Linked DNA regions of Medicago truncatula. The protein of the gene in region 4 binds, or shares a complex with, the protein of the main gene of each other region. Links are inferred from orthologs where the notes say so. Each region holds a gene or a part of one and is shown on either strand. Other genes may lie near its edges. The genes, in order: 50S ribosomal protein L15, chloroplastic; 50S ribosomal protein L9, chloroplastic; 50S ribosomal protein L1, chloroplastic; 50S ribosomal protein L24, chloroplastic.

The links.
Region 1: 50S ribosomal protein L24, chloroplastic (region 4) and 50S ribosomal protein L15, chloroplastic share a complex: the UniProt entries of both Arabidopsis thaliana proteins name them as parts of the 50S ribosomal subunit. The link is inferred for Medicago truncatula from reciprocal best matches to the Arabidopsis thaliana genes RPL24 and RPL15.
Region 2: 50S ribosomal protein L24, chloroplastic (region 4) and 50S ribosomal protein L9, chloroplastic share a complex: the UniProt entries of both Arabidopsis thaliana proteins name them as parts of the 50S ribosomal subunit. The link is inferred for Medicago truncatula from reciprocal best matches to the Arabidopsis thaliana genes RPL24 and RPL9.
Region 3: 50S ribosomal protein L24, chloroplastic (region 4) and 50S ribosomal protein L1, chloroplastic share a complex: the UniProt entries of both Arabidopsis thaliana proteins name them as parts of the 50S ribosomal subunit. The link is inferred for Medicago truncatula from reciprocal best matches to the Arabidopsis thaliana genes RPL24 and EMB3126.

The regions. Positions count from the first base shown.
Region 1 is NC_053042.1:53,668,467-53,675,897, forward strand, and holds the start of 50S ribosomal protein L15, chloroplastic, read left to right. Parts: upstream 1-4,426; 5' UTR 4,427-4,524; coding exon 4,525-4,587; intron 4,588-4,665; coding exon 4,666-5,005; intron 5,006-5,980; coding exon 5,981-6,132; intron 6,133-7,431.
Region 2 is NC_053045.1:29,004,243-29,011,158, reverse strand, and holds the start of 50S ribosomal protein L9, chloroplastic, read right to left. Parts: upstream 3,009-6,916; 5' UTR 2,927-3,008; coding exon 2,789-2,926; intron 2,695-2,788; coding exon 2,567-2,694; intron 1,913-2,566; coding exon 1,867-1,912; intron 1,524-1,866; coding exon 1,426-1,523; intron 1,349-1,425; coding exon 1,301-1,348; intron 135-1,300; coding exon 14-134; 3' UTR 1-13. Other genes in the region: pheophorbide a oxygenase, chloroplastic, read right to left, coding at 4,739-4,993, 5,101-5,376, 5,699-5,858, 6,195-6,331. UniProt on the Arabidopsis thaliana protein: Binds to the 23S rRNA.
Region 3 is NC_053045.1:15,688,596-15,695,940, reverse strand, and holds the start of 50S ribosomal protein L1, chloroplastic, read right to left. Parts: upstream 3,025-7,345; 5' UTR 2,926-3,024; coding exon 2,554-2,925; intron 408-2,553; coding exon 228-407; intron 125-227; coding exon 70-124; intron 1-69. UniProt on the Arabidopsis thaliana protein: This protein binds directly to 23S ribosomal RNA.
Region 4 is NC_053043.1:40,655,455-40,662,472, reverse strand, and holds the start of 50S ribosomal protein L24, chloroplastic, read right to left. Parts: upstream 3,007-7,018; 5' UTR 2,957-3,006; coding exon 2,843-2,956; intron 1,219-2,842; coding exon 1,180-1,218; intron 863-1,179; coding exon 632-862; intron 310-631; coding exon 109-309; 3' UTR 1-108. Other genes in the region: calcium/calmodulin-regulated receptor-like kinase 1, read right to left, coding at 5,366-5,731, 6,197-6,397, 6,933-7,004. UniProt on the Arabidopsis thaliana protein: One of two assembly initiator proteins, it binds directly to the 5'-end of the 23S rRNA, where it nucleates assembly of the 50S subunit. Required for optimal plastid performance in terms of photosynthesis and growth.

The DNA.
Region 1 (7,431 bases), on a different chromosome or scaffold from region 4:
GACTTGTTGTTTTTCCATTAGAATAATACAGTTAGCAATAGCATGCATATATACAAAATATACAGTGTTTGATTTGATAGAATTTGTGAAATTGATATTCAGATGTTATCCACCAATAGCAACAGCAGGGTATCATCCAGCAGGTAACATAGGAGATCATCATCATCACCCAACAATGCCATTGAGTTTCCCAACATCCTTCTCTGCTGCAGGTTCATCATCCTCAACATCTCAAGTTCAACAATATCTGTACTCTTCACCATCAAGGCCTATGTCTTTCCCTCCACATTTGGTTCCTCACGATTACCGTCATGTGAGTCATATGATGAGTAACAATGGGCAGCAATATGTGGCAGGTGGAGGTGAGTCAAGTTACACGTGCATAGGTGCACCGGTTGGACAAGGTTTTCCAGATCATCATCCTTCAACGATCAATCGATTTCAAGATGGTATGTAATGGAGTGATATTTTGTTATCATAAAGACACGCTAGCTATCTGTAATGTATGTATGTATATCCAGAGAGAGAGAGAGAGAGAGAGAGATAGATGATTCATAATTAATTAAGGTGCTGACAGATAGCTAGGGTTATGACTCATCATGAGTAAGAAAGAAGAGATAGCAACAACAGTAACTAGGTGCTGCAGCTTTTGAGCTCATTCACAACCTCAGCTACTTTGGATTCTAGCTGTGGAATGTCTTTTATATGTTGGTTCGGTACAACAACAAACAAGCTGTTGGATATGAACTGAAAGTTTGTGTCACTTCCTTTTGCATCCCATTTCTATTTTTCTAATATTTCTTGCTTTTTGTACCATTTTCTAACTTTTGTGGTTTCATACTTCTTTTCTAACTAAAAATCCAAAAATCTACCTCTCACTCTCTCTAGTCAAACCAAAATTAGAATATTCTAGTTTCTTGATATGCTCATCATGTCAGTGTCACACTATGCTTGCACAATTAAGGTAATATCACAACAAAAGTCGAATACTCCAGCTGAGTGTTTCCGGTATACTCTCATACATAGAATATTCAAACAATCAATCATGCCTCTACTATCAATCAAATTTCTTCTTAACGCATATCTAGAAACCTTATCAGTTCGAAAACCATACATAATACAAACACAGACCCCCTTTCTTCCTAGCCAAAGATCACCTCCCAAAGGTAACTATGTTATATAATAAAACCCAAGGAGTACAAAGAGTTTAAGAAGGAGTACATCAAATCATAAAACAAAGCGATAAAAGATAAAGTGTAAGGGAATGGTAAAACAACCAGAACCACAACAAGCATAGTGTAGGATGACATTATTTAGAGATAATGGATCACATTAAGATGGTCTCACAGAGTTGTACTTCCTCCGTTTTTTAATATAAGTAAATTTTAACTTTTAGATTCATTCAATCAATGATGTATGTGGTCTTTTAGACCACATACATCATTGATTGAATGAATCTAAAAGTCAAAATTTGCTTATGTTAAAAAATGGAGGGAGTATTAGTTAGTTGTAATGTAATGCTTAACATGTGACATTCTTCCTTGTAAGGGTTTGGAGTAGCCTTGTACATCCTTTAATGCTAGTTTGTTTATTAAAAAAAATCATAGAACCTGAAAAACATACCACCAACAAGGAAACCACGTACCACCGTCACAAGGAAACCACGTACCACGTAATCAACCAAACTATATGCACAACCGATCCGTCCTGGTCAACACCACAAACCTCTGTGGGGTCAAATACTCCCTCCGTCCCAAATTGTATGACGTTTTGGACATTTTACACATATTAAGAAATGTAATTAATATTGTGTGGGAAAAATATATTATGAGTTGTTTTACAAAATTGTCCTCAATAAATGATATGGGAAAGATAAATGAAGGAATTGAAAGAAGATAGAGTAATAAATAATTAAGGATATAATAGGAAAAATAACATTAATTTTTCATTGGTATTGTAAAGCGACATACAATTTGGGATAAATATATTTTCTAAAGTGACATACAATTTAGGATGAAGGGAGTACATAATAACAAGTTTTCCGTGAAGTCTTACCTTACCTGAAAACCACTTCCACTTATTTTTTACATACTCCCTCCGTTTCAAAATATAAGCAAAATTTATTTTTTAGTTCATTCATTTAATAACCACATACATCATTAAATGAATGAACCTAAAAAATGAATTTTGCTTATATTTTGAAACGGATGGAGTAAGTTGCTGAACAATTACTATCTTTTCAAAGAAAATAGATCCATTTGGGAACCTTCAAATAGACCACACAATCAAATTTAACTAAATTACTAGTAATTTCGAAGAAATAAAACTCCTGATATCAACTCTAGACCAACAATTGGTTCCTTCCGTTTCAAATTATGATTCATGATGTTCCAATATTTTTTAGTGTACTTATTTTATTTTATTTTAGCTTTCACACATGGGTTTTCCTATTTGATTTTAGCTTTCACAATTGAATGGGCCAATGTGAAGTGCAATCATTTGTTTAACACATGAACCAGAGTTAAGGACTTTCAATTATGTATTTTACTCTTTTAATACTTAAGAATTAGTAATGCTACATCCCCTAAAAAATTCATGCTTCATATAGGTTACAAAATTAAAAATAAACTCTAGACCCATCTTAGAAACAATAACATAGTGCCGAGACTAAAGTGAAAAGAATTCAATTTGTTTGGGGATGAATGTAAAGAATTTATTTTCCCACCATCCACCCTTCTCGCGCCCGTCCTCGGTTTCGTCTATTTTATCCCCATTTGAATCATAATTTGAAGCATTTTTAATGTTTTTTGGATTATAAAATTCACAATCTATCTGGGCTTATATTTTACACATCATATGTTGTATTGTATATCAACGTATTACGTCTACGTCACTATGCACCAACCCAAAATCACATAACTTAGTCGGACGATGTGAGTCTTATCTAGCTACTAATACATGATCAAAAATAATATAATTATCTAACTTGTATAAACATACACTTAAGTATCTCTACCTATTACAATATAATTATCTAACTTGTATAAACATACACTTAAGTATCTCTACCTATTACCTTATCATCTTGTGAAAAAATTGAGTATTCTTACTTTTGTCTCTCCATGATGATCTTGAGTATTCTTCACATCAAATTCAGACCCACAAGTGTTTAACATCTATTGAAATTCACTAGGCCTATGGAAAAACACATCATCGTCATGATCTTCAACTTCATGACTCCCTCTCTCAACAACTTATCTCAGAGGCACCAGATAACGATATATCTTGTCTAACCCATCATCTCGGTCTTCTCTAATCATGTTAGGTTGACTGACACCACCCCCACCCTTCAATGCTTCAAAACACACATGTGGAATCAAGCTTTCTTCCATCACGAAGATGTCAAATTTAGTATCGAGGTGCTGACTTGAAAAATTTCCCACGATGGAAACCTTTTATCGTAACTTTGTAAATCAAATCAAGTAAATAAACTTAAATATGTGGAGCAAAAGACATCAGAAACTAAATCTAAAACAACCTCAGGAAACAACAACATATCTTATATCTAAGCAAAACATATCCACAAACAAAGTAAGGACAACAAGATAACAAACACACTAAGAATTGGGTATATGGTTATTGGAAAGAGGTATAAAAGAGGTTACAAGAAATTAGCTTCAACAAATTCTCTAAGAACAACATAATTTATGCAAATTTCTCAATTTCTTTTTATAAACAAGAGACTCACAAATATTTTCACTCTCCAATGTATTTCCCATGTGTTATCTATTTATAGAATCTATCCCCTAGTAGTTTCATATCCAAACAAATCTCATCTTGAAATATAAATATGTAAAATAGTTTAACATTAAAAAAAAGTTGTTTGGTCCTTTAACTTAGTTTTAAAGTTCATATTAATACCCGAATAAAAAGGGAACTTCTACGGTACACCTCATAAATTGAGGTGTACCGATACTCCTGCTATATAAATTTATAAATTAACAATCATTTTATGAAATAAGTAGCTATTTGTCAATATTTATATTTTAGAAAACACCATCTCATGAGAAAAAAACATAATTTCATTGTTTATAAGAATTATATTAAATTTCTAACATTTCCTCATAAAAAATAAGCAATATTTTTCGTTATGGCAATAAAAATTCAAAAGAGTAAATTTTATTTCATCGACGCTTTTGGTAAATAAGATTTAATTATTATAATTGTCAATGATAGAAAATAAATCTTTTTTCTTCAAAAAAACAACTAATTTAATTATTGATTTAATGTTTTGGTGTACTGATACACTCAAAATGTTGGGTATACCATAAAATTTGCCAATAATAAAACCCTCTATAAAAAATAATAAAGTGATAATTTTTTTGAGGAAAAATATAATAAAGTGTTGTAGTCTTATCTAGACCGTTATTCTATTGTTTAGGGGGGTTTATCGTATCAACAATATTATCCGTCTGTTCCATTTTGATAGATAGAGTGAAGAACGGATAGACATAGTAGAGAGACATGAGTGCTGCTGCTTCTCTTATTCCTGTTTCCTGGTTACCCTCTCTCGCTTCTCCATTCAAGGTATTTCTATTTCTATTTCCATTTTCATTTCATTTTCTCCCGCAATTCACAATTTCACCATTGAATTTATATTTGTAGGGAAATGTGAAAACATTGGTAGCAAAACCATATCTATGTCCATGTCTCAAAATTCAGCGAACAAAACACCGTGTTTCTGTCATTAATAAGTCTGTTTCTGCTTCCGTACAACCAGCCGGTGAGAATGTTCGGTTTCGGTTGGACAATTTGGGTCCACAACCGGGTTCAAGAAAGAGAGCAAAGAGAAAGGGAAGAGGTATAGCGGCTGGACAAGGAGCGAGTTGTGGTTTTGGAATGAGAGGTCAAAAATCTCGATCTGGACCCGGTATCATGAGAGGTTTTGAAGGTGGTCAGATGCCGCTTTATCGACGATTGCCCAAACTTAGAGGAATTGCAGGAGGTATCCCTTCTTACACAACACTTGGGAATTTACCTTTTGCTTTGTTGGCTAAATTTGTTGTTTATGGATTTTGAAAATAACGTATTTAATTATCGCGGTTATGATTGATTGACAGTACGAATTATATTCTTAGTTTTAAATGATGTCCAAACTTGTGTATTGTACATTTTGTTAATTAGTTAATTTTTAGTCTATATACTACCAAATGGGAGCTTTTGTGCAATTGTTAGAGATGCAATTGTTTGAGTTGAAAGTCGGATATTCATGAAATTTTAGCAGTATCTTAGAAATACAAGATTGAATATAATTGGCACACTAATAGGTTGCCCTTTTTTTACCATGTTTTGTTGAATTATCTGTAGCATCATAATGCTTCACATGGAGTTTATATGGATTTTGTTGAATTATATTAGGATAATTTAGGATCCTACTGTTAGGGAGTGATCAAGAAAGATGCTACTTGTAGCAACATCATTAGTAAGAAAAAACAATGGTTAGATGAGAATTGTGATTCCTGGTTGCAGATTGATTACGTATACTTGTTGCGTGCCTGCATCACATTTGAAAGTCATGAAGTATGCCTATTACAGGGTCCGGATATGATGTTGTATATATCCCTAATATGTTGATTTTCAAAGAAATTATAGTCGATTCCCTTTATTGACATCTTGAAATGGTAATTATTGTCTAAAGAGAATCATGGCATTATGGATTATACCAAGCTTCCAATACCTAAATTTCGCTTCCTCAGTTCTTATTATGCTTGACATCTTTACTTATTGTATATTTTTTCCCCTTATTCTTTTATATCCTTCCATGATTTCATTTCAAAAGCAATTATTTTATCAAAGGCTTTTCTTTCATTCTTTGTCGTAGGATCTCTCTTAATTTATTTAGTATACGCATAAATCTCGCTTGGAATCATGTTTTAATGTTCCTTCTTTTCTTTTATTTATATAAAAAAACCATAATAAGGTATGCATGCTGGATTGCCGAAATATGTCCACATCAATCTGAAAGACATAGAAAATGCTGGATTTCAAGAAGGGGAAGAGGTGTCTCTGGAGACACTGACGGAGAAACGTGTGATTAACCCATCAGGAAGGGAACGGAAACTTCTATTGAAGGTACAAAATACTTGTTGGTTTATGGCTATCTAATTTTTTCCTTTAGTTGTTGTCTTACATGTTCTTTTCTGTGATTGTTTTCATGATGTCTAGAGGTATTATGATGTTTCACTTTTAAAAACAAATGAGGATGGTTAATTTTCCTAGTGCCCCATATATCAAGAAAGAATTCTCATATGAGGTCCCTTGTCTATCGTGAATAAAGTTACTTTCTTTAAAATTTTCATATAATGCCTTTAATCAGAGAATTTTGGTTGAGCTCAGACATATGTTGTTTGTTTATGATACATATGTAAGTTCAAACGTAATATTTTGGTGGCTGTGTTTGTGGTTTGAATTTGAAACTGTAAAGTTGGAATATAGGTCCGTTGGTTGAAAGAGTTAAAAGTTTGCTAATGGATGTCGGGATATTAGAGATGTTGAAACCGTGTTTCTCAACTACATGATGGAGTCCATTTTGTAAGACTCAAACAAATAATTACAATATAAATACGATCAATTTTATTCTTATTTATGCCTACAGTTAATCTATAATAATCACAAAGATCCTAAACATATTTTCAACAAGAGAAATAAGGCACGTAGTCTATAAATAAGAAGAGGGCTGAGACTTGAAAGGGAGAGATATCTTGTCATTTTAGTTTAGTCGGAGGTCCTTGGATATAGGAAGTAGGGAAGATTGCATACCTTTGAAGTTCTGTAGTTCTCCATACAAGGAATTTTTCCCTAAATGTACATTTAATTAAAATATCAATTTCTGTCTATTGGTATCAAGGCTCCATCAAGGAGTTGGGGGTATATCATTGAAGATTACGTGGCGGGAATAAGAATAAAGGCACACATGGATGTCATGGATGGTCAGGAAGTAATTTCAGTTGGGGAAGATACATCTGTGTTGGATCAACAAGTTTGGGAGGTATTTTCATATGAAATAGGTGTTGGAAGGAGAAAGACTATAAGTCATCTGTGTAGCCATGGAAGGACAAGCTTTGTTTTTGTTTCAATGCTCCAAAACCCGACTTGGGTGATGTGTCATAATATTATTAGGTGTTTCCAGCCATCCATGATTTGCAACCCATTTGGTATTTTGTTGTGTATGAAGCAAGAGGGCTTGTGCATGAGTACAAGGATCAATTTGACATACAGGTCAGGTTGTTGCATCTGCTACCAGATAGAATATTTAAAAGTTTTTTTTTAAAGGACGGCAAGATTGAAGCTACCCTTGAACAGGTCACTATTGGAGGAGATGGATTTGGAAGAAACTATAGATGAGTGAAGAAAAGAGTCGGTCAGTTTGAA
Region 2 (6,916 bases), on a different chromosome or scaffold from region 4:
AACATATTAGTGCTCAGTTAGCTAAAACATTCACACTCACTTTAGCTGTAACCTCAGGGTGAAGTTTTAACTCTGCAATATATTCTCCTGTCTCCCTGATCTCAGGAAGTTCAACAATTCTCTTGTCCACCTCCCTAGAAATGAATCATAGAAAATCATGAACAATTAATCAGACTACAAAACACATGTGAACTGAGACTAACTGAACTAGAAATGTAAATCGTCAAAGAGATATAGTTTGAAGAATTTCGAAAGTCTCTTCCAAATTTCTTCTAGCTTTTCAAAAATTGCATACACTGAATACATCCAAATGAATCTACAGAATCATGGAAGGATATTTTGCACCTATAATTCCTTTGTGGTATTGTGTTAACTATGGTTAGTAAATTGAGATTCCAGTCGTGAATCAAATGATCTATTTTCCTAATCATGAATCAAATCTTATTATAAATGTAAGATACACTACCGATAAAAGTATGATATTTTTATGTAAAAATAAGTCACAGCAAAATTTCAAGTTGACATATCATATACGAACCTCAATATAATTCAAGATTCAAGCCATACATCAAACGACAAAAGACAACGGCCAGCTATACAAAGTTGACAAAAAATGCCTAGCTACACTAATTTTAGGTAGTAATTCATTACAATGAATTGAGATTCATTATAGTGAAACAAAATTCATTATTATGAATTAGGAGATAAGATGGAATTCGTGTACGAAGTTGATACACACTAGGGATTCATATCGGGTGGGTTCAGTCTTACTCGAAACAAGATACGACTCACATCTAACGCAAGATACTGATGACTATGGTGCTATCAATCGATAAGGATAAGCAGGAAAGAGTAAAATAACATTGTAGTTATTACTGAAATGCACATTGAATATTAACAGACTAAACATTATGACAATTCCATTCAAACTAAAAGGAATTTCTCTAAAGGATATCAGGTATTGGTAGAACCTATTAATATTATAGTGATTTGGTTAACCTCCGTTGATAAATTATATCGAAAACTCAATCGAAAAGAATCTTTCATTATTGTGGTAAAAATCAACATGAACCTTTCTACAAAATTGGAAGGCTCCAAAGCCAGACAACAAAATAACAACAAACTGCATTAAGCATATAGCTAGTTGGAACAAAATACCATACTGAAATGTGTTTTGTTGTCCCAATTATTAGAAAAGTATAAACAGGAATGTTACAACTTATAGGATAATACTAAATAATGTAAGATTTATAATGCTAACAAAGAAAATATTTATGTGCATCAGAAAGATGAATGGTACCTTTGAAGCTGTGCCTTGATAATGTCAACAAGATCTTGAGCCGTAACACTAAACAGAAACCAAAGATTAGGCACAATCATACATATATTGCACAAATTGAAACCTAGTAATTGGGTAGAACATACCTTCCGAAGATTTGTTTTCCTTTACCACCTTTACGCTTCACCTTGAAAGCCCCAACTGATTCCAAAATTTGAGCAAGTTGCAGTGCCTCTTCTTTTACCTATAGAAATGTAAAACTTAGATAGTCTGATATGTCTTCAAATACACCTAGGGGTAAAAACTTCACTAAAATATTTCAGAAGGAAGTTTGAAAGTCGTAAAATTTCCTAAACAGCAGATAATCAGATATTAAAAAGTGAATTCAAAATCAGGAGAATATCATTGTTATGAGCTTATAGCTTTACATGCAAGGTTGTTTAGAACTAGTAGCAGAACATATTAATATTCCTTTCCTCTTGAACTCTAACACTCTTAATCACTGATCAGCTTATCACAATTTTAACTAAACATTATCATAAGGAAAATTTTACCAAAGAAATGATAAGGGATCAACGAAAAATTACCCGTTGTTTCTCAGCCTCAATTCTTTCTTCCTCTATCTTCAATTCCCTGGAAAGAAAAAGTTAAAATGAAAAGGTCTAAAGACAATCAATGCAAGGGAATCACAATTCAAAATTGTGGCAAACATGTTTTTTTCAAAATGTAATTCTTAACAAAATGAAGCCTTGACAGAAACACGAATACCAAACACAACATTGACACTGACACGTCAACATCAGTACTAATCTGAGAGAATGGAATGATTGAATGTAAACCCATGTCTCAATGTCAGAGATCAACACGTGTCGGATACCAGACACACCATCAATCTGAAGTGTTGGTGCTACATAATCTTAATGTATCATTCTAATGTGAAACTCTTAAGAGACTTTGGTGTTTTGTTGACAAAGTTTATTTTTGATGATATTTCAATAACCTAAATACCCTTCGCTGCTGCTAGTAACCTATGTAGCATTGACACTTCAGATCAAAGGTGTATCCACTTGGTCAACGACACGACACTTTCACATGTTGAATTGGATTCTCTCCAAATTGTTGAATTCAAACACTTCTACTTTCTTAAACAATTACTAGTGCCTACATGTCAGTGTTGTGTCCGGTGTCTCTGCTTCTGGTAACTTATCCAAAGTAACCTACTACTAATGTAAATTAAAATTCTAAAATCTCAAGTAAGATTAGATGATATAAATAATTGAACATTACTTAAGCAAATCGGCAGTTGCAATCTGAGCTTTGCCACTAGGAAACAAATAATTTCTGAAAAATCCAGCCTTCACATCAAGAAGCTCTCCTTTCTTTCCAACATTAAGAATATCTTCCTTCAATATAATCTAATTTCACAAAATAACAATAAAAAAAACTCAATACAAATAACAAATACTGTCACAACTGAGAGATAAAAAAAAAAATGTTGGTGTAACTAACCTTTCGGGTTTTCTTTGCTTTCTTCTGAGCGAAAATTAAGAACCTTGAAGTTTTGTTGGAAAATTGAGAAGAAGTGTTCAAGTTAGAGGTGAAACTATGTTGCAATGGAAGTGAAGATAATGTTGATGATGATGCCATTGTTGTTTTGTTAACTCACCGCTCAATTTGTGTTCTGTGTTTTGGTCTCTTATCTCTTCTTCTTCAAACGAACATCGAAAAATAGTGGATATAACGTAAAAAACTTATTATTGTATTTTTTTTTTACAAAAATGTTAATTAATATTTTTTATTTTTTTAAAAAAGTTAGTTAATTTTTAATTGACAATTTCTGTGGAGACATACTGTGGAATGAGTTTAGAATTTGGATTCACGATTTTTCTAGATTTTATATAATATCGCATCTAATTTGTTTATTGAACTCACATTGATTTGAAAGAGAAAAAAATTCATTAGTTTAGGATATTTGTTATATATTATTGTAGAATCCGACTCCGAGTCAACGATATTTCTGATGACTGATGTTCAACATAATGATTTTCACCCTCATGCAAATTTAGTTTCTCTTGTTATGATGTTCATCCATCTTCCTTGGTTGGTTTCCTTGAATATGATACAAGATAAGACAACGAATGTGTTGATTGGTTGACCAAATTTGATGCAAAGAATGTCGACATCATGAAGTTGTGGAATTCCCCTTCGACATAGTTGAATCTCGTCTTACATTGCTGATGTCTATGAGATGTTTAGGCAACAAATTGTTTAGTTTTCCTCTTTTCTGGCTTTTCTTTCCGCCGGATTAAAAAAATAATTCATCATTGTTTATTGCATTGAGATTAAAGTACAAGAGTGTACATGTTTAGTTTCATTTTGGAGGAGTCAAAATTGATTTTAGGTGTGCAGAAATAATTATAAAGTATAATTGATTTTGCCTCTAGAATTGATCTTACTTAAAAGTTATAAATCGTAAGCTTCTAATTCTATAATTGATTTTTATGTTCAAATTTATTATTCAACTACATTTTATTTACATGAATGTATTCAAACATAAATTATTTTGCCTTCAACTCAACTTTTGCCATAATCAATTTTACATAATCAATTCACTCAAAATCAATTTTTTTTCACCACAAAATCAAACATACTCTAATTCTTAACCCACTAAATAGAATCAGTTAAATGAATAAATTGACATCATAATATTCTATCATATATCACATCTTTATCAAATTCATTAAACTCTATACCCTAGAATAAAATTATAAATAATTAATAGCATAGAGATATAGATAGAAATGAATTAAAAATAATTAAGAGCATTACAGTAAGATAAAAAAAAATAAAAAAAATAATTGTATCGAAGTAACAGTTTAAATGTTGTATCATAAATTATCAAATGTAGTTATAAAAGTGGGGTAATATACAAATCAATTGCAGTTAACACACATGGTTGAATTTGGCTTAGATCTTCGATTATATGAGTGGTTCTCTTTGATCTTATACGAAAGTGTGTCTCTTCTAATCTAATTTTATATATAAAAGAATGGTGAGTCCAACATTGCAAGTGAAAGAATTGATTGATTTATCATATAGTTAGTTTTTGAAGGAATTGAAATATAAAATTAAGCACTGGATTTGTAATTTGTGTATAAAAATAAAATTCAGATTTAATACGTCTTTCGTATTCTAAACATACAGAAAGATTGGTGTTAATCTTGTCATGTTTACGACCTTCGAAATAATCATCTACAATCTATGAAAAAAGAAGTTTCATATTGTGTATTTGTAGTCTAATGTCACATTGTTATACACATGTTAACATTAACATCAAGGTAGATCTAAACTCCGTTGATGAAAATATATACACATATTAACATACACGTGGTTATTTGTCCTCATCTCTAACATTTACAATTTGCAACTAGTAATAAAACCTTTGGAGTAATAACACGTTCAATCGATTTCAGCGTGCACATAATCGACGAAAACAAAATTGTTTTTCAGTTGGTTTATGGAAAAAGCTAAGGCTGCACTGACAAGCGCGAGTGCAGCCAAAATTATGCGCAGCTGAGTATCTGATGGAATCCCAGAAGTCGCGCAAAACACAACTGTTGCACCAGTCAGGATTTTCTGCCATGTTTGGAATCCCTCATAAGCTCCTTTACAAGCTGAACACTTCAGTGTGTGTTGTTCAAATCTATCCAACATCTACATGAAAAACAAACACAAAAGATCATCAAAGTTGTGTTTTATTCTCGGTTTTGTAGACAATGGAAAAGGGTTCATAATGAAATAACTTGATCAAATTGCTATACCTGACGTTTTGATAGTACGGTTGAAGGCAATGGCTGGCTGCTGCTCTTACCAAACCATTCAGGTTGGCCATTGCCGTGTCGCCTCAGCCAATTTCTAAATGCCAACACAAAACGATCGGCCTGTGTTGGTGTGAAGGTGAGGCTTGTGTACTGTTTGTTAATGTCACCGCCATTCTCTGTTTCTGCAAGAAAGATTTTCTCTTGACCTTGAAGTACAATCATGTCCCCGTCATATACCTTGTTTGAAGTCCAATGTTCATACCATCTGGGAACCACCTGAGACATGAACAAGAAAATCGTTAGGACTTGCTTGTTCCTGGAAATATATTTTATCCTAGATGTTGATGTTGGAGAAGTTCAAGAATTCCATTTTGTTTAAAAATCTTCGAAATAAAATGGTTTCATAGAAAGAAACTTAGCATTCTTCAAGGATAACAGCGAATAATTTTTGTCAAGGTTTGCTAAAACTATATCTTGATAGACATTCAAAAGAAGCGAATAAATCAGTGAAAGACCACAGAAATTAGCAGAGAATGGAACATTCTCGTGGTTTTATTGAAGAGAATAGAAACGAAAGCATTGAATATAGAAATCTTACTTGCCACCAGGCAGGCCCTGGCACCGTGAGCTGGAAGAAATTTCGGGCACTGCAAACGATGGAGCGAGTCTTACCAGGTGCCATGGGGACATTGAAGGAACATATCCATATTACCCATTTCTGGTCACCAACGACGGGGAGTTTGGTATCGATCTCAACCCTGAAAAAATAGTTCTTAATTTACTGAGCTTCAAAACCAACAAATGGAAAGAAAACAGCAGCAACCTAGCATAAAGTAATAGTCTTTTGAAATGCATCTTGAAATATAGCATACAAACAAGACACAGTTAGCCACATGATGCCGCAATCATCCAAATATCGAGGTAGATACCGTCCTTTTTCAATTAAAAATGAATACTATTCTTTTATGGTCATGAACAAGTACATAACTCATATTAAGTTACTCATCATTTATGATAGTGTCAAATAATGTACATGGGAAAATGAAACCAGAATTCATATGAAAAATACTTTCATGAAAAGGCCAGTGGCTTACTTGTTAATATAGTAACATGGTGCAATAAATTTGGAACTGATCCGTGGGTTCCCTTCATTAGCTCCTGAAAAGCCCCATGAACCACGTGAATCCATCTTGAATGGAAGAGGCTTGGCTCTGTCTCTCCTTCCTGTAACCTATGGCGTATATATCATATTTATGTTAGTGATATCGATAACCCTAAAAAAACAATATTAAATCATTTCAACTTTTGGAACTGCTTATATTGATAGCGTCTAAATAACACATATATGCAAAATGATTGACAAACATTGACAATCAATCTATAAGTTTAACAAATCCAAAAGGGAATTTGACTGTGCAGCATAAATCATTAAGACACAATACTATTGTGCAACAAACTTGCACACATCCATCTCCTATGCTGCCTCACCGTTTTTTTGCTTGCACTTCCTCTCCCACATCGATTAGTCTGGAATGCACGATGGTGTATTTAAGTTGTTTGTTTTTTTCCCCTTAATATCTAGCATTCAAACAGTGTCTTAGAAAGGGCTCCAAATGGAGGTGCTGACCGGAAAGACTGAGTAAAGCATCGTAGAAAGCAGCCGCCGGGAAATCGGCTCTCATCATGGGATGCTTCACGGTGGAGTTTCTTCCTTCTTGATATCTAGCTTTTAAGAGAGGGTTCCCCAAGTGCTTGGGTATTTATTAACTTCACTTTTGGTTTACTAAAAAGGTGCGAGAGGGGGAGCCTTGGCACA
Region 3 (7,345 bases), on a different chromosome or scaffold from region 4:
GTTTTTTAAGCATGATCAGAACACTTTTAATTAACTAGAAGTGTAAATGCGAATCGAAAGCATAATCACCTTGAGTAAGAACGGCTATTTTTATGGGTTTTCCAGTTCCCTTCGGCAGACTTACCTATTAAGAGAAGATGGATGAAAGACTCGGAATTAGCAGATGTATTGTATAGTTTTCAATGTGCATGTATATACTAGAATCAAACGAATGGCAGGAGACTCACTGTAGCTCTTAACTGTTGATCATTATATTTAGGGTCAATGTTGAGGCGGAAATGGGCTTCTACTGTTTCTACAAACTTGGTTTTAGCTGTTTCTTTTACCAAAGAAATTGCTGTCTTCAAGTCATATTCTTTCTTAAACTCCCTCAATTTTTGAATTTCCAAGAATCTCTTAGATCTCACCTGGTGAAACATGGAAAGTGAAAACAACAATTATTCATAAAATAAATGGGAAACATTTTCCAAACATGAAAAATTCAATGATCCAAACAATCAACTTGATCTTAGAAAGAAACAAATGGCTATCTTATAACATTTACACCATCGCTATCCAAGTAGGCAATCAAATATGCTGGAACATAAAGACCAACCAAGCAAAAATACTGCATATAATGGTAGGACAAATAGCACAGTAACTACTGTTTATATGCATCTCTCACCTTCACTCATGCTAAATTTCAGAAGATATTGGAAGCTAAATGAAGTTATATAGAACAATTTATTTCCACCAAAAAGAAAGTCTGGCTATAAATATGGCTCAACTAAAAGTAAATGAGTATGTAACCGTGTATATTTTATGAAATTATTTATATCCTCTGAAGCTCCTATAACATAAATACGTGAACAGTGAGTTTTTATTTTTCTTCATCACCACTTTTTAGGAGTTCTCACCTACATAAGATGTTAGTCACTAAGCAAGTTTATTTTAAAATATCATTCTATTACAGTTATTCAACAGATGGAGCAGCTTGTGCTAACCAAATGAGCAATGAGCACAAAACATGAAATTAAGATATACAGTTATGTATTCATCCATTTGTAGTCATTAGCTACTGAAGAGGATTGTCCAACAATTTCTCACTATCTTATATCATTCTATTATTTCTTAAAGCTTGTTTGTAATGTTACAAGATGGCGATACATGATTAACTTCCCAGGTAAAACTACAGTTATTTCCTGTTTACGTGAAAATTCTTAGGTACAACTACGGTTATTTCATGTTTACGTGAAAAATGATATAGACAATTGCCAAAATATAGCACCCATAATTAGCATCAACTAATAGTCCAATACCCACAACACAGCTACAAGGTTAGGTATAAGTGGTAAATGTCCTCCATCTAAAGCTACTGACTCAATTGATACCCTCACCAGTGATATAACAATTTGTGGATAGAGTTCCCTCACCTCTTGGCTGAACACATCCTAGATAATATGTGTGAAAACCATAGTCACGTGATTTTTAATTCTCTTTGGTACGTGGTACGGGTATACGGTTGCTGCCTACCATGTATTGGTTACATTGGGGGGTATAATCGGTACATTTGGGTTCAGTATAAAATGCTGCTACTACTTTTGTTTACTTCTTTTATCAAATTAATAGTTATAAATTGCCTGCCGTAAAATATGGTGACTGCATATCTTTATAGTCTTTCAAATAATATCACAACAACAAGCATACAATTTCTTCAACTATCCTTCAGAACAATTTTTCCAAGTCTCCCACGTGAACGATGAACCCCTTCATCTTCCTAAATTCACTGGTTCTAAAAGAATTTCCAATCATTCCACTGCCGATCGCAATGAGAAAAGAGATTCAACACATCTTCCTTTGACTCTTCTACTGTCATAAACACTCACTGTCTTTTGTCTTACTTTAAACTGGATCCGGATTCAGTGACTTTAAGGCCGGTAATTCAAGGTGACTTCGGTGTAATTGTGTGTTATGAGAGAAAGTTAATAGATAAGTCACTGAATCCGGATCTCTTTAAACCATATAAGATAACTCAGTTCTACGCTTTTAACAAATTATCTAGAAAATTGGTGAAAACCAATTCACCAAAGTAAAACAAATTGGTATTCAAATACCAATTTTTTGTTCGTAATTGTAGTACAATCTCTATAGCACCCATACTTCTGATTGACGGCGTGACTGATACTCCCTCCGGTCCTTATTATAAGAAAGGATTGACTTTTTAGGTTCATTATGTAAGTGATGTATCTAGTCTATATTTACAACAAGATACATTAATTACTCAATGAATCTAAAAAATCAAAAGTTTCTTATAATAAGGACCGGAGGGAGTATCCGACACGTGCCACTGTCTAACACTGAACTTACATTAGTTAAATTCTATGTCGACGTGTCAATATCGTGTCAGATGTTCGTGGCTACGCTTCTTATGGTCATAGCCACCAACACAATTAATTCCCTTAATAAATAAATACTAATAATACACTAATAATCCACAAAACCAGAACCCCAATTGTAGTTAATAAAATTCAACAAAAACCCATCAAGAAAACAATAGAATTTGAAGAAGATTACCCTATCACTCTTGAGAAGTAATGCAGCTTTCCCTTTCTTAGGCTTAGTAGTAACAACAGTCACAGTTTCAGCAACATCATCAACGTCATCTTTCTCATCTTCATCAACAGTTTCAGCAACATCAGCGGCGACAGCGGAAGAAAGTAAAATCGAAGACCTGGACTGGTAGGTTAGATTAACCGACTTAGAAGGCTTCAAAACGAGGGGAGAGAGAAAGAAGGTTCTGGGAAAAGAACGGAGAGAAGAAGGAGAAAGATCTTGGGGGGTGAGAATAGAAGAAGAGGGGTGTGTTAGCATAAGAGATGATGATGAAGTTGTTGTTGTACATGAAGCCATGTTTGGGAAGAGAGTGTGGTGGTGAAAGCAGGACATTTAGGTGGTTATCTATTCGTTTTGCGATGGTGATATGAAAATGAAATGAATTTTGAGGAGATAAGAATGTGATGTGCCCTATCGTCTTACAAATGCCGCGTGATTTCTTCTCTTCTTCTTTCTTTTTGGCATATACTAATACTTATTTTTCATTTTTTATTATTACAAAAAAAAAAAACAATTTTTTATTGTATTATTGCACTAATAAATTAAGTTTTAATTCGTCTCGTCAACTTAACTCAGTTCATAGGGACAAATATATAATATATGCAGAAGCTGGACTTTGAATCTCATACACCGCACTCCTTCACATTTATAATATGTGAACTTCAACCACTACACAACTAGACAAAAAAAATCGAGGTTTAATTCCAAAGTTTTGATGTAGTGGTGAAAAAATAAAAATAAATGCTATTATCCTTCAAGAAAAATTATGCTATTAGAAATTTAGGGCGTGTAAATGATGCTCATTGTTCTAGTAAGAGAGTGTGTATATTCTAATTTATTTTTAACTTTTTTTATTGAAAGCCCATTTTAGTTTTTCAAAAATTCACGAGACTTAATTTAGTCATGTGAAAAATAATTTGTATTTATAATTTGGTTTTTTCTATCTTTCTTTCATACCAAATTATTAACAATATCTTCTTGGATTTATTTTCTTTCTTCTATCATTTTCTTATCAACCAAAACAAAGTGTAAAGAGGTTAAATATTAACTTTGTCCCGATTTAGTTTTTATCAATGACTAAAGTTACTTTTATTTTTCTAAGAAACTAAATTGGATCTTTTGAATTTTCTCAAGGACTAAAATGAACATTCACATTTTATACATAAATTGATTTTTTATGAAAAATAAATTAAGTTTAAAAGAGATTCATAGTTGGAACAAACTAATGTTATTTAATATTTGATATTTATTTTTGTTAAACATTAGTGTAAATTAGTTTACACAGATGGTTGTCCTTGTCCTAAACAAAATTGTGCGGGTGGTTCATATTTTCTTATAAAATTGACAATGCAAATTATGCTTGTGTGGTTCTTATTTAATTTATTTATAATATTGGGTGGATTATTGATGTTGATTATTTTAGTATGACTACAAAATAATGAGGATAAATTTTTTGAGGGAAAAATAATGAGGATAAACTATAACTACAAAATAGACTACCATTGTATAAGTGAATGGTGTTTTGGCTAAATACTATTTTTGTGCAGGCGGATGTGACATGGAGGAGGACATCAATTTTTTTGTCTGGTAGTCTAGTAGTTAGAATTCACCTTATAAGGTGAGTAAATAGTGTGTCCGAGGTTCGAATCCCGATCCATGCATATAATAATGCATTGTTCTACCAACTGAGCAATGCTCACGAGATTCAACTTTATTATTTTTTTTATTTTTGAGTTTTGCAGAAAAATTTGGTTTGATATTTATAATTGAATATGTTTAATTACGATTCATCCGTTTATATCTCGGATCATTTACTTCAATTTGTATGAATTTGTGACTACTAAAAAAATATTTTTTTTGTTCCTTAATTTGATTTGACTTTTCTGTATTTGGATCATTTAGCAAAAAAGAAATTCAAGAGTGTTTAAACAAAATAGGTTTTCTTCATCTTCTAGAGAAAATTAAACTCTAATCTTTATGGTGGCTGAATGCAAATCATCCAACTTTTGCTTCTATCTATCTGTTTACCGGTGTTTTCGGCAAACTACAGGTTAATTCTGATTATTACAAGAAATCTCAGGACATGATGTTCAAAGGTTTTGATCGAAAACGGTTTGAAAAGGCCACAAAATGCACTCAGGTTACTTAGAGAGCAAGACGGATTTTAGAGTAAAAAGGGCACTGTCTTTCGACAGTTTTGAGATTGCAAGTGAAAGCAAGATAAAATTAAAGGAAAGGGTAAAAGTTTAAACACATAAACTTAAAAGAAAATGTAAAATGCATTGCATTAAAAGTAAAATTGTCTACGAATAAGTTTACATACATTATGTATAACTCGTTTTCCTATGCGTCGGTAGTTTTAATGTTGTAGAATTTCTATAAATGATTTGCGACCCATTTTCCGACTAGGAAACTCTTATTTATACATAAAGAAAATAACTGGCAAAAGACTGATCTCATGATCAACACTTCCTCCATCTTGGACAACCTCTTGTCCCCAAGTTTCCACTAAGGAAACCGCCTTTGAGCTTGAAATTGTATCTTTCCCGCCTTGATTGCTTGACTTCGATGCAATTACGCTTTTAGCATTCCTCAGACGAACTCTTGACCATGCGCGTTAGGCTTGCTATTTTGTCGAAATCCTCAAATTAAAATGAAAAAGCCTTCGATTCCTGCAAAGTTAAAAGTCAACTAAATGTTGACCACATTAAATGACCCTGTCGAAATTACAGGCTAACAGGATGCCCCCGAAAAATGCCATTTTCGACGAACCTCATCAAGTAGGAGAATATTGACATTTTTTAATTACACAAGTTACCTTGAAAAGATGACATCATCCCACTCATTAATTACCCTCCAAACATGATTTTCAGTTTCTTTTCCTTTGATCGTTTTAGGATTTAAGTGGGCCACGTCTTTTCACTTGGACAACCTATAAGTCTATTTATTTCCCTAAGGCGCCACTTGTCGTTGATCGAACTCTTCATGTTCTACCCTTCGAAACTCCCTATTTTTACCATCGTTGTTCCTTTCTTCACAAGATTTCCAAGATTTTATGTCTCCCAAGGCCATTAATTATCCACTATCTCAAGGCGTTTTTACCTTCTTTCGTGCACGTTGTAACGCCCTCTTTGAATTATTTGTTTTATTTGATTATTTTATTGAGTTTAGAGTCTTTTTGAATAATTTATTTGATTTATGATAATGTGTGTTATTTTTGTGTTATAGGTTGGTGTTTTAGTAGCATATTATATTATAATATATATTATTTGGTGTAGAGATATTATGTTATTTGTTAGTATAATATATATGTTATTTGGTGTAGAAATATATTATATTATATTATATTATCTAGTGTAGAAATATAATTGTTATAGAAATATATTTGTTATTTGGTGTAGAAGTATTTTATATATATATATATATATATATATATATATATATATATTAAAATAGAATATTGAGACTTTGGGAGCTGATTTGGGAATTTAGAAGAGTTTAAGAGAATAAGTGGAGTTAAGAGAAAATAGGTAGGTTAAGGTTATAAAAAGAGAAAAGTGAGAAGTCAGAATAGTTTTTTCACGTACAACCAGTTTTTGGAGAAAAAGGGAGAAAACCTAGAGAAGAGGAGGAACGAGAAGATAACCTTGCAATCGAATTCTTAAGGTAAGGGTGGGACTAACATTCAATAATCTTGAGTCTATGATTCTGAAAATTGTATTTGAGAATTAGGGTTAAGAGTGATGATTGTGATGATTTTGAATGAAAGTGAAGTTGAATAATATAGGTTGCTTTTTCTGATTTTTCTTTTCATCTCTGCCCCGAATTTGAAATGAAATCTGGTATTGATAGGTCCAGAATTGGTCTTAGGTGTAAACACGAAAGTTGTAGGTATGGATGTTAGCTTTGTAATTCCGTTGGTCTGACGTCAAAACAATTTATAGAACTTGAGTTATGGTCATATTACTGCATGTAGGTCACAGTGAATTTTTATGAATTTCAGCACAACTTTTTCCGAATTTGAAATGAAAACTGGTATTGATTGGTACAGAATTGGTCTTAGGTGTACACATGAAAGTTGTAGGTATGGATGTTAGCTTTCTAATGCCATTGGTTTGACTTGAAAAGGATTTATAGAACTTGAGTTATGGTCAAATTACTGCACGTAGGTCACAGTGAATAATTGAATATGATTGATGAATTAGTATATGTATGTATATGTTTGTGAATACGATATTGTTCATGATTGATGAAGTGTTATATGAATGTATATGTTTATGAGTATGATGTTGTTTATGATTGATGAATTAGTATATGTATGTATATGTTGTGAATACGATATTGTCCATGATTGATGAAGTGTTATATGCATATATGATGTTTTAAGATGTTGATTATTATTTGATGTTGTTATATCTTGAGGTGTTTAAGTGTTGTCTATGTTGCTGTTGTTGGTTATGTGAAATGTTCATATGTCTTATGTGGAGAATATATGATGTTTAAGTTGTTGATGTTTTTCATTAATATTGTCATGTTGTGAATTGCTTGTACTGTTTCTGTTGATGTTGCATATTGATCAAGATGCAGGTGTTGGTCTAAGTTGTAAAGTTGTAAGTTTTCTTTCCAAAGTGTTTCCAAAGTATTGGAGTATTAAGTTGTTAATGTTGTCTAAGTTGTTGATATGGAGTTGCAAATGTTACATATGAAGATTATTAATGATGGTTACTTGTTGTATATGTTTAAATGATGCTGT
Region 4 (7,018 bases):
CAGAATAATAACACAACATAATATACACTTAACAATAAAATGGGAAAAAAAATAATACAACTACATTGAGTTACATAACTGCTGAATGCATGAATTAATATAGTAAAACTAGGCAGCAACAAGTTCTTCAGTTTTTTTAGTAGCTTCCTTCAGTTTCTTCCAATTCTCTACACTATCAATTACCTCTCCAGTTTTTATTAGATAACGAACTTTTTTGCCATTGTCAATAACTTTATGACCAACACGGCTTACGACATTCTTTTCTTTAGAGTAGAGCATCACATTTGAACTGTGGATAGGACCTTCAATCTGAAATTCAAGGCAATGGTTTCTAAAAGTATTAGAGTCCATGACAAGAAATGCACCAAAAAAAAACAAAAATCATAAACATCAACGCATGTTTCTAAACTTCTTTTTTTTGTCTTAACCCTCAAGTTTCTAGAGAAAAGAGGCATGGTAATCCAAACTTCGGTCGGGAGGTAAATAAAATTGACCAAAATTTGTTCCAGCCAGGATTTGAACTCGAGTTCCCTCAAACAAAGGAGAATGTTATATAATAGGAGATTCTCTAACTCTTAAGAGTGAAGAATTCATAATAATGTTTTCTCTGGTAAAGGGAAATGATAATAACCTTATTTATTTGCCCTGGTTCTCCCTCTTGTCTACTCTTCACATGCTTTGTCTTCAAGTTTATGTCTTTGACAATGATAGTGCTGTTGTGCTTGAAGATCTTAGTAACCTCCCCAATTTGACCCTTTTCATGTCCTGATATGACTTTCACAGTATCTCCAACTTTAACATGCAATTTGTGTAACACTGGAAGGCTGTTTGGTTTACATTCCTTTCGCTCCCATCGTTTAAGCTGCCAGAAAAGAAAAGAAACAAAACAAATATTACACAAGACATTTTATAAGGTTAGTTGTTAGACAATATATTTAGACTCATGACCTATAAACCAATGTCTTTTTATGTTTTTTTACAATATAAAATTAAAGAAATCATAAGGTTTGTATCGTTTTCATTTTTGCAAGAGTATGAAAATGCCATTGACGGAAAAAAAAACATTTCTTTGCTCTCGGATCACTATAGTTAACATTTGCTTGATTTTGATTTTAGTTTAACAAAAACTAAAGAGAATAATCATATTAGGCATGGATGTGGGAAGTATTTGATACTTACCTTCATTACAATACGACATTGCTTATCTGTCGGCTTACCCTGCATATCACCAATAAGAACAATATAGATTTAGCATACTAAACTATTGAGAAATGCATCTGTAAGAAGAAGAACAATATAGATTCATTTTATCCTTATAAACAGTCAAATTTCAGCCTGGCAAAATGTAGTAGTTACATTACATTGAATGAAACATTAAGCATTATTGCATTTTCGTAGTGTTGTCAATCGCAGATTACAGAAAATAGTGGAATGCCAAAAATCTGTTATGCGAAATAGCAGACTCTATATTGGTTGAATTAAGTAAATTATATATAACGAAAGGCTTGAATTAAGTCAATTATATATAACGAAAGACATGTTCCGTACAAATAAAAAAGGGTATGGAGGCAAAGCATAGCTTACAAACATAAAGGCTTACGTATTACAGTGAATATGAGAGTATTACTCTCTGGCGATTCGACTCTTCTATTTTGAAAATAGTTCTTGTTTGCTACACGTGCAGACTCTTCAATTTTGTAATTTAAAAAAAAAAAAAAAAAAACAAATATTCTACTTTTCTTCTATTGCACAGTTGCACTACATCTGCTAGCAGAAACTAGAATAGTGGCCGCTATTTCTCTAATAGCGAAACTAGGATAGCTTTGTGTTTTTTTTTAATAGAGGATTCATCAAAATCTTCTATTTCCTCTCCATCCAATCACTCTCCATCTCCTTCCTCCCAAAATATGTGTCTCTCTCTCTCTCTCTCTCTCTCTCTCTCGATCTTCTTACCTTTTCTCTCTCTCTCTTGATCTTCTCTCTAAAATTTGGATCCAGATCCTCCACTTCCACTCACTCTCTCCTTCTCCTTCCATAATTGGTGTCTATCTCTAAATTTTAGAGAAGATCATGAGAGAGAAAAGATAAGTTAGAACACATATATTCTTACAAGGGCTTAGTTAGAAATGAACAAATAACATTTAAATTTATTCTTACAAGGGCTTAGTTAGAAATGATAATTTTAGGCAAGCACTAAGCAAATGAACACACATCAAAGAACACATATATTCTTACAAGGGATTAGTTAGAAATGGATCCTTTAATCAATATTTTCACATTGATATGAAAATTGTGTTATATCTCCTTCTTCATATGCACTATATTTGTCAAATTCAATCCTATCTTAATTTGTGATTGTCTAAAGAACACATTCAGACACACAATTGTCATGTGAAAAATCTAAATCTCTTATGAGCTTATTCACATTCAATTCCAATAGCACTGGTCATGCTACAAAATGGCAGATTCAATTTATTCTAATAAGAAAATGAATAAGACACCGAGACACACCTTCAATCAGAAGCATTGACGTTGAATAGGACATGCCATATAAACATGAACAGAATTATGAATTATAAACTGATTAGTGCATCCACTAATTCTATGAAGATGATAATTATTAACTATAAATTCAAACAATATCACCACAATTCTAATTAGAAAAATAAACACGAAATGCTATTACCCATGAACTTGGACTCTTAAAACTCACTAAAATCAAAAACCCCATGTGGATAAAATTAGAAAATAAGTACCTAGAATAATAAAAATTGAAACTTTAATTCAAAAAGAAGAAGCAAATTTGCAAAATTAATGGAGAGAGTGTAAGAGAATGAAGTACCGGAAGAAGAGGAGAGAGAGTGATGGGAGAGAGAGGCTGGCCGAAGAAAGAGTTGGAAGAGAGTGAGAGTGAGGTCATGGAACTCTGAAGAGAAGCCATAGCCATAGCTACCATTTTTGTTGCTGTAACTTCTTCTTTTTGCTTCTGCTTCTGATAATGATTTTGGATAATACAAAATTTCAAAATAAAAGAAAAAATTGAAGAATTTGGTGTGAAAATGGATCATGGGCTTTATGTGGGTTAGTTTTGTAAGCCCAAATTGTAACGAAAATTGATCTTCTTCCTTTCAAAATTACTCATTCCCTCAACTCGGCAGGAATTAATTCCCGGCATTTTTCATGGATAACTCACGCCGACATTTTTAAGATCTGTTCAATCATTTTTTAAATCGGTTCAATCGATCTTAAAAGTGCTGGTGTGAGTTAACTCACGCTGAAAAATGTCGAGCGAGAGTTTCCCACTAAATTAAGGGAATAAGTAATTTTGAAATGGAGAAGCAATTTTCAATTGTAACTCTCTTCGGAATGAACCAATTATTATTATTTTTTTCTCTTTAATTTTTTGTTCAATAATAAATACTAGAGTAAATTACACTATTGTGCTATGTTTGGATTGGTGATGTGAGATGAAATAGAGTGGTAAGTAATTGCCTTACACTATTGAGAAGTAAAAACTTAAAGTAAATTATATGTCTCTCCTCTTAATAGATACTTGAATTATACTTCTCTCGTTTAGATGTATTTTCTTATGTGCTTTTGTACAATTCTAAATTAAAAATACACTTTTTCTTATAACAAACTTTAAAAAAAAATTATCGATTTAAGTAAAACATGGATAGTTTAGTTAAGAAACATACGAAAAATACCTAAGAAAATGAATGTACCAAGTTTTATCCTTAAAAATATAGAATGCATCTTATTAAATATTTTGATATATCCTATACTTTATTTTTTATTTTGTATCCAGTAATCTAAAAGGACTTATTAACAACATTTAGCATTATTAATTTTTAAAAAAATATATATGTTATGAGGTTTCTTCTACACTGTTGCATACATATTTGCAATTGATAAATTTATATTTTAAAAAGAAAAAAAATTGAAGCAAGCAAACTTAAGTAATTTCTTTTATCATTATCAAGCAAGATATAGTATGGGATAAAATCAAAGTTTTGAGACTTGACTGTATGTAGCTACTCTAGCTAGCTTATAAGTCACTACATTAGTTTGTCTCCTAACATACTCCACCACCAGAGTTTTGACAAAAAAGGGACTTAAATAAAACATATACAATCATGAATCATCAATAATATAACCTAGTTCGGACATATCCCGATTTGGTTTATTAAAATTGTCAACCGTCAATTTAGAATCCGACTCAAAAAATATATGATCAATCTCCAGCTTATAACCCACTTGATTGCTTCAATCAAACCAAGTGCTCTTCATGAACAAGGAGGCGAGGAGAATAGTGATCTGTTCGATCTTGCAGGAAATTGCCTACTTCATCGCTTAGACACATTCCTACACCAACATAGTTGTCCGTGAACGATGAATCAATGTTACATTTTATCATCCGTACCGGTGGTCTTTGTCATCACCATTCTGGCTGCTTCTCTGCTATATGGTTATTGACTTGCTGCCGGTGTTCTAAAAAGGACGTAGCTCTCTGATGCAATTCCTGCAGACCTTCAACAACTGCTTCCATAAGTGTAAATTCTGCAGCGCCACAAACTTCGCATATCTGTACACCATTTGACTAGCTGGTTTGGATCTATTGTATTTGCAACTTTGAATAATAAATATTTGCAATAATCTTCATATCAATAAATCTGTCAAGGACAGTCCACATACCTGTCTCCTGCCATGGCCAGCTACAACTGGACACGTTACCATGATGTGTCAAGCGGATTCTGTGTTGCTGGTGCAGCGCAAATGGACGCACTACCATGATATGCCAAGCAGATTCTGTGTCAGCTGCAAATGAACATGCTACCATGATGTGCTAAGCGGATTCTCGTTACTGGTGCAGCGCAGGCAGTAGGGTTGACAGGGAGCTCCTCTTGTACAGAGATTAAAATTTATGAAGTTAGATTAATTTTGCAATTGAAATCCTAGTTAACTCTTCAGAAATTAAAACTATGATCCCTCAAATAATTTGCAAATCCATTTAAGTGAGATTAAAATTATTTTCGACATTAAGATTGTTAGTTGAGTCGGAAAATAGATTGCGTGCATGAAAGTAACCCTTTTTTCACATCAATTTCATTCATGAAAGTAATAATATACAAATTTAGGAGTTTCTGTTCTGCGAGACAACAGAACTAAGGCAAGAGAATGAAACAATAAAGTAAAAAATAATGTAAAAAAAAAAAAGAATGTTACACAAAACTACAGAAGATGATGCCAAACATCATTAACTCACTCAAAGCCTAATGTCTAATAAAGATCATTATCCAAAGCCAAAAAATAAATAAAAATAAAACAATAGAAAATAAAAGAACTAAATATAAAGCTATTTTTGTTACAAATCATACATGTCAGTTGCACTATCTATAGATTCATCTCTTCTGTGGCGACTATCTATAGATTCATCTCTTCTGTGGTCAGTAACATGACCCTTATTTTCTGGCTCATCAACATCAATTGCAACTTCATCTGTTGTGGCCGAAAGAGACTTCTTGTGATGATTCCTCTGATGCCTTGCTTTAAGGATCCGAGTCAATACTTGAACTATGTCCCTCATCGAAGGACGCTTCCTTGGGGAACGGTTGATGCATCTGTATGCAAGTGCTGCCACTTCATTCACCTCTTGGAAATCACATTTTCCTTCGAGCTTTGAATCAACAATCTCCTCCCAACCAACTTTTCCCTCGGAGTTCATTGCTGCCTAATCATCCATCAATAGCATTCATAAGAACAGAAAAAATTAATTAGATATCATGGTGTGCTGCATCAAAAAAAATTCAATTTGGTTCGATTTTTTTAATTTTTTTTCCAACTAATATAAATTCAGTTCAAGAAAGAACAATTAGATTTTTTGTAAAGGTAGTTTTATTTCGGTTCAGAATCATCGAACTGGTGCACCTCTTGGGACGGACCCCATTAACAGTTCGCTTCAGTTTTTATGAACTGTGGTAACGCCGTAACGGTTTAGTTTGGTACGGTTTTCTTTCTGAATTGAACCACAATAAGCCCTATTATTTACAAGGATTTGTGAGTATTGTCTCCGCAACTTAAATTTCTAGATCTGTCACCACTTGTTTCGATATGTACTATGTATCAAGCAAAGAAGAAAGAACAACAAGATACATTTTATTTTCAACAGGGCTTGAAAGAGGGAGAGAGGTCTTACAAGTTCAACATGTTCCATAAGACCCTGCTGAGGATTTCGGCCAGCTATAAGTTCAAAGAGCAACACTCCAAAACTGTATACATCGCTTTTTTTGGTGAATGTCCCGGATGATATATATTCAGGATCCAGATAGCCAAAGGTGCCACGAATAGCAGCATGTTTATCCACCATCTCTTCTCTTGAAAGTCCAAAATCAGCAACCTATTTGATTCAGAATCAATAAGAGCATAAGAATTCTAACCCACAATAAATTATTAGAGGAAATATATATTTTGTCATTCAGCATTATCTCAGATCATACAGATTGAATAAAAGATCATGGTTATCAAATCAAATTTCAAGTAAAAAATATAACATTTTTAAGTAAAAACATGTGACATACATAACAAACCTCAAAATAATTCAAAATTCTAGTCATAAATCAAATGGCAAAAGAAAAGTGGTAGGCTGTACAAAGTTGACAAAATAGGTTGCAGCGTAAACTAAGTGTAATGATTCAGTAGAATGAAACGAGATTCATTAAAGTGAACCGAGATTCATCATAGTGAATCGAGTTTCTTCATAATAATTTGGGGTTCAAGATGAGATTCAAGTCCAAATAGATACACACTACAGGTTTGTGTCAATTGAGTTTATAATCTTGTGCTGAATCGAGATACGACTAGCATGTATCGTAAAATACTGATAATGATATACAAGGTCATGCTTAGAAAAAGTGATGATTAACAGGACATACCCGGGCTCGCATGGACTGATCCAAGAGAATATTGTTAGATTTGATGTCGCGATGAATGACAGGAGGAACTGCCTGGAGTGACAACA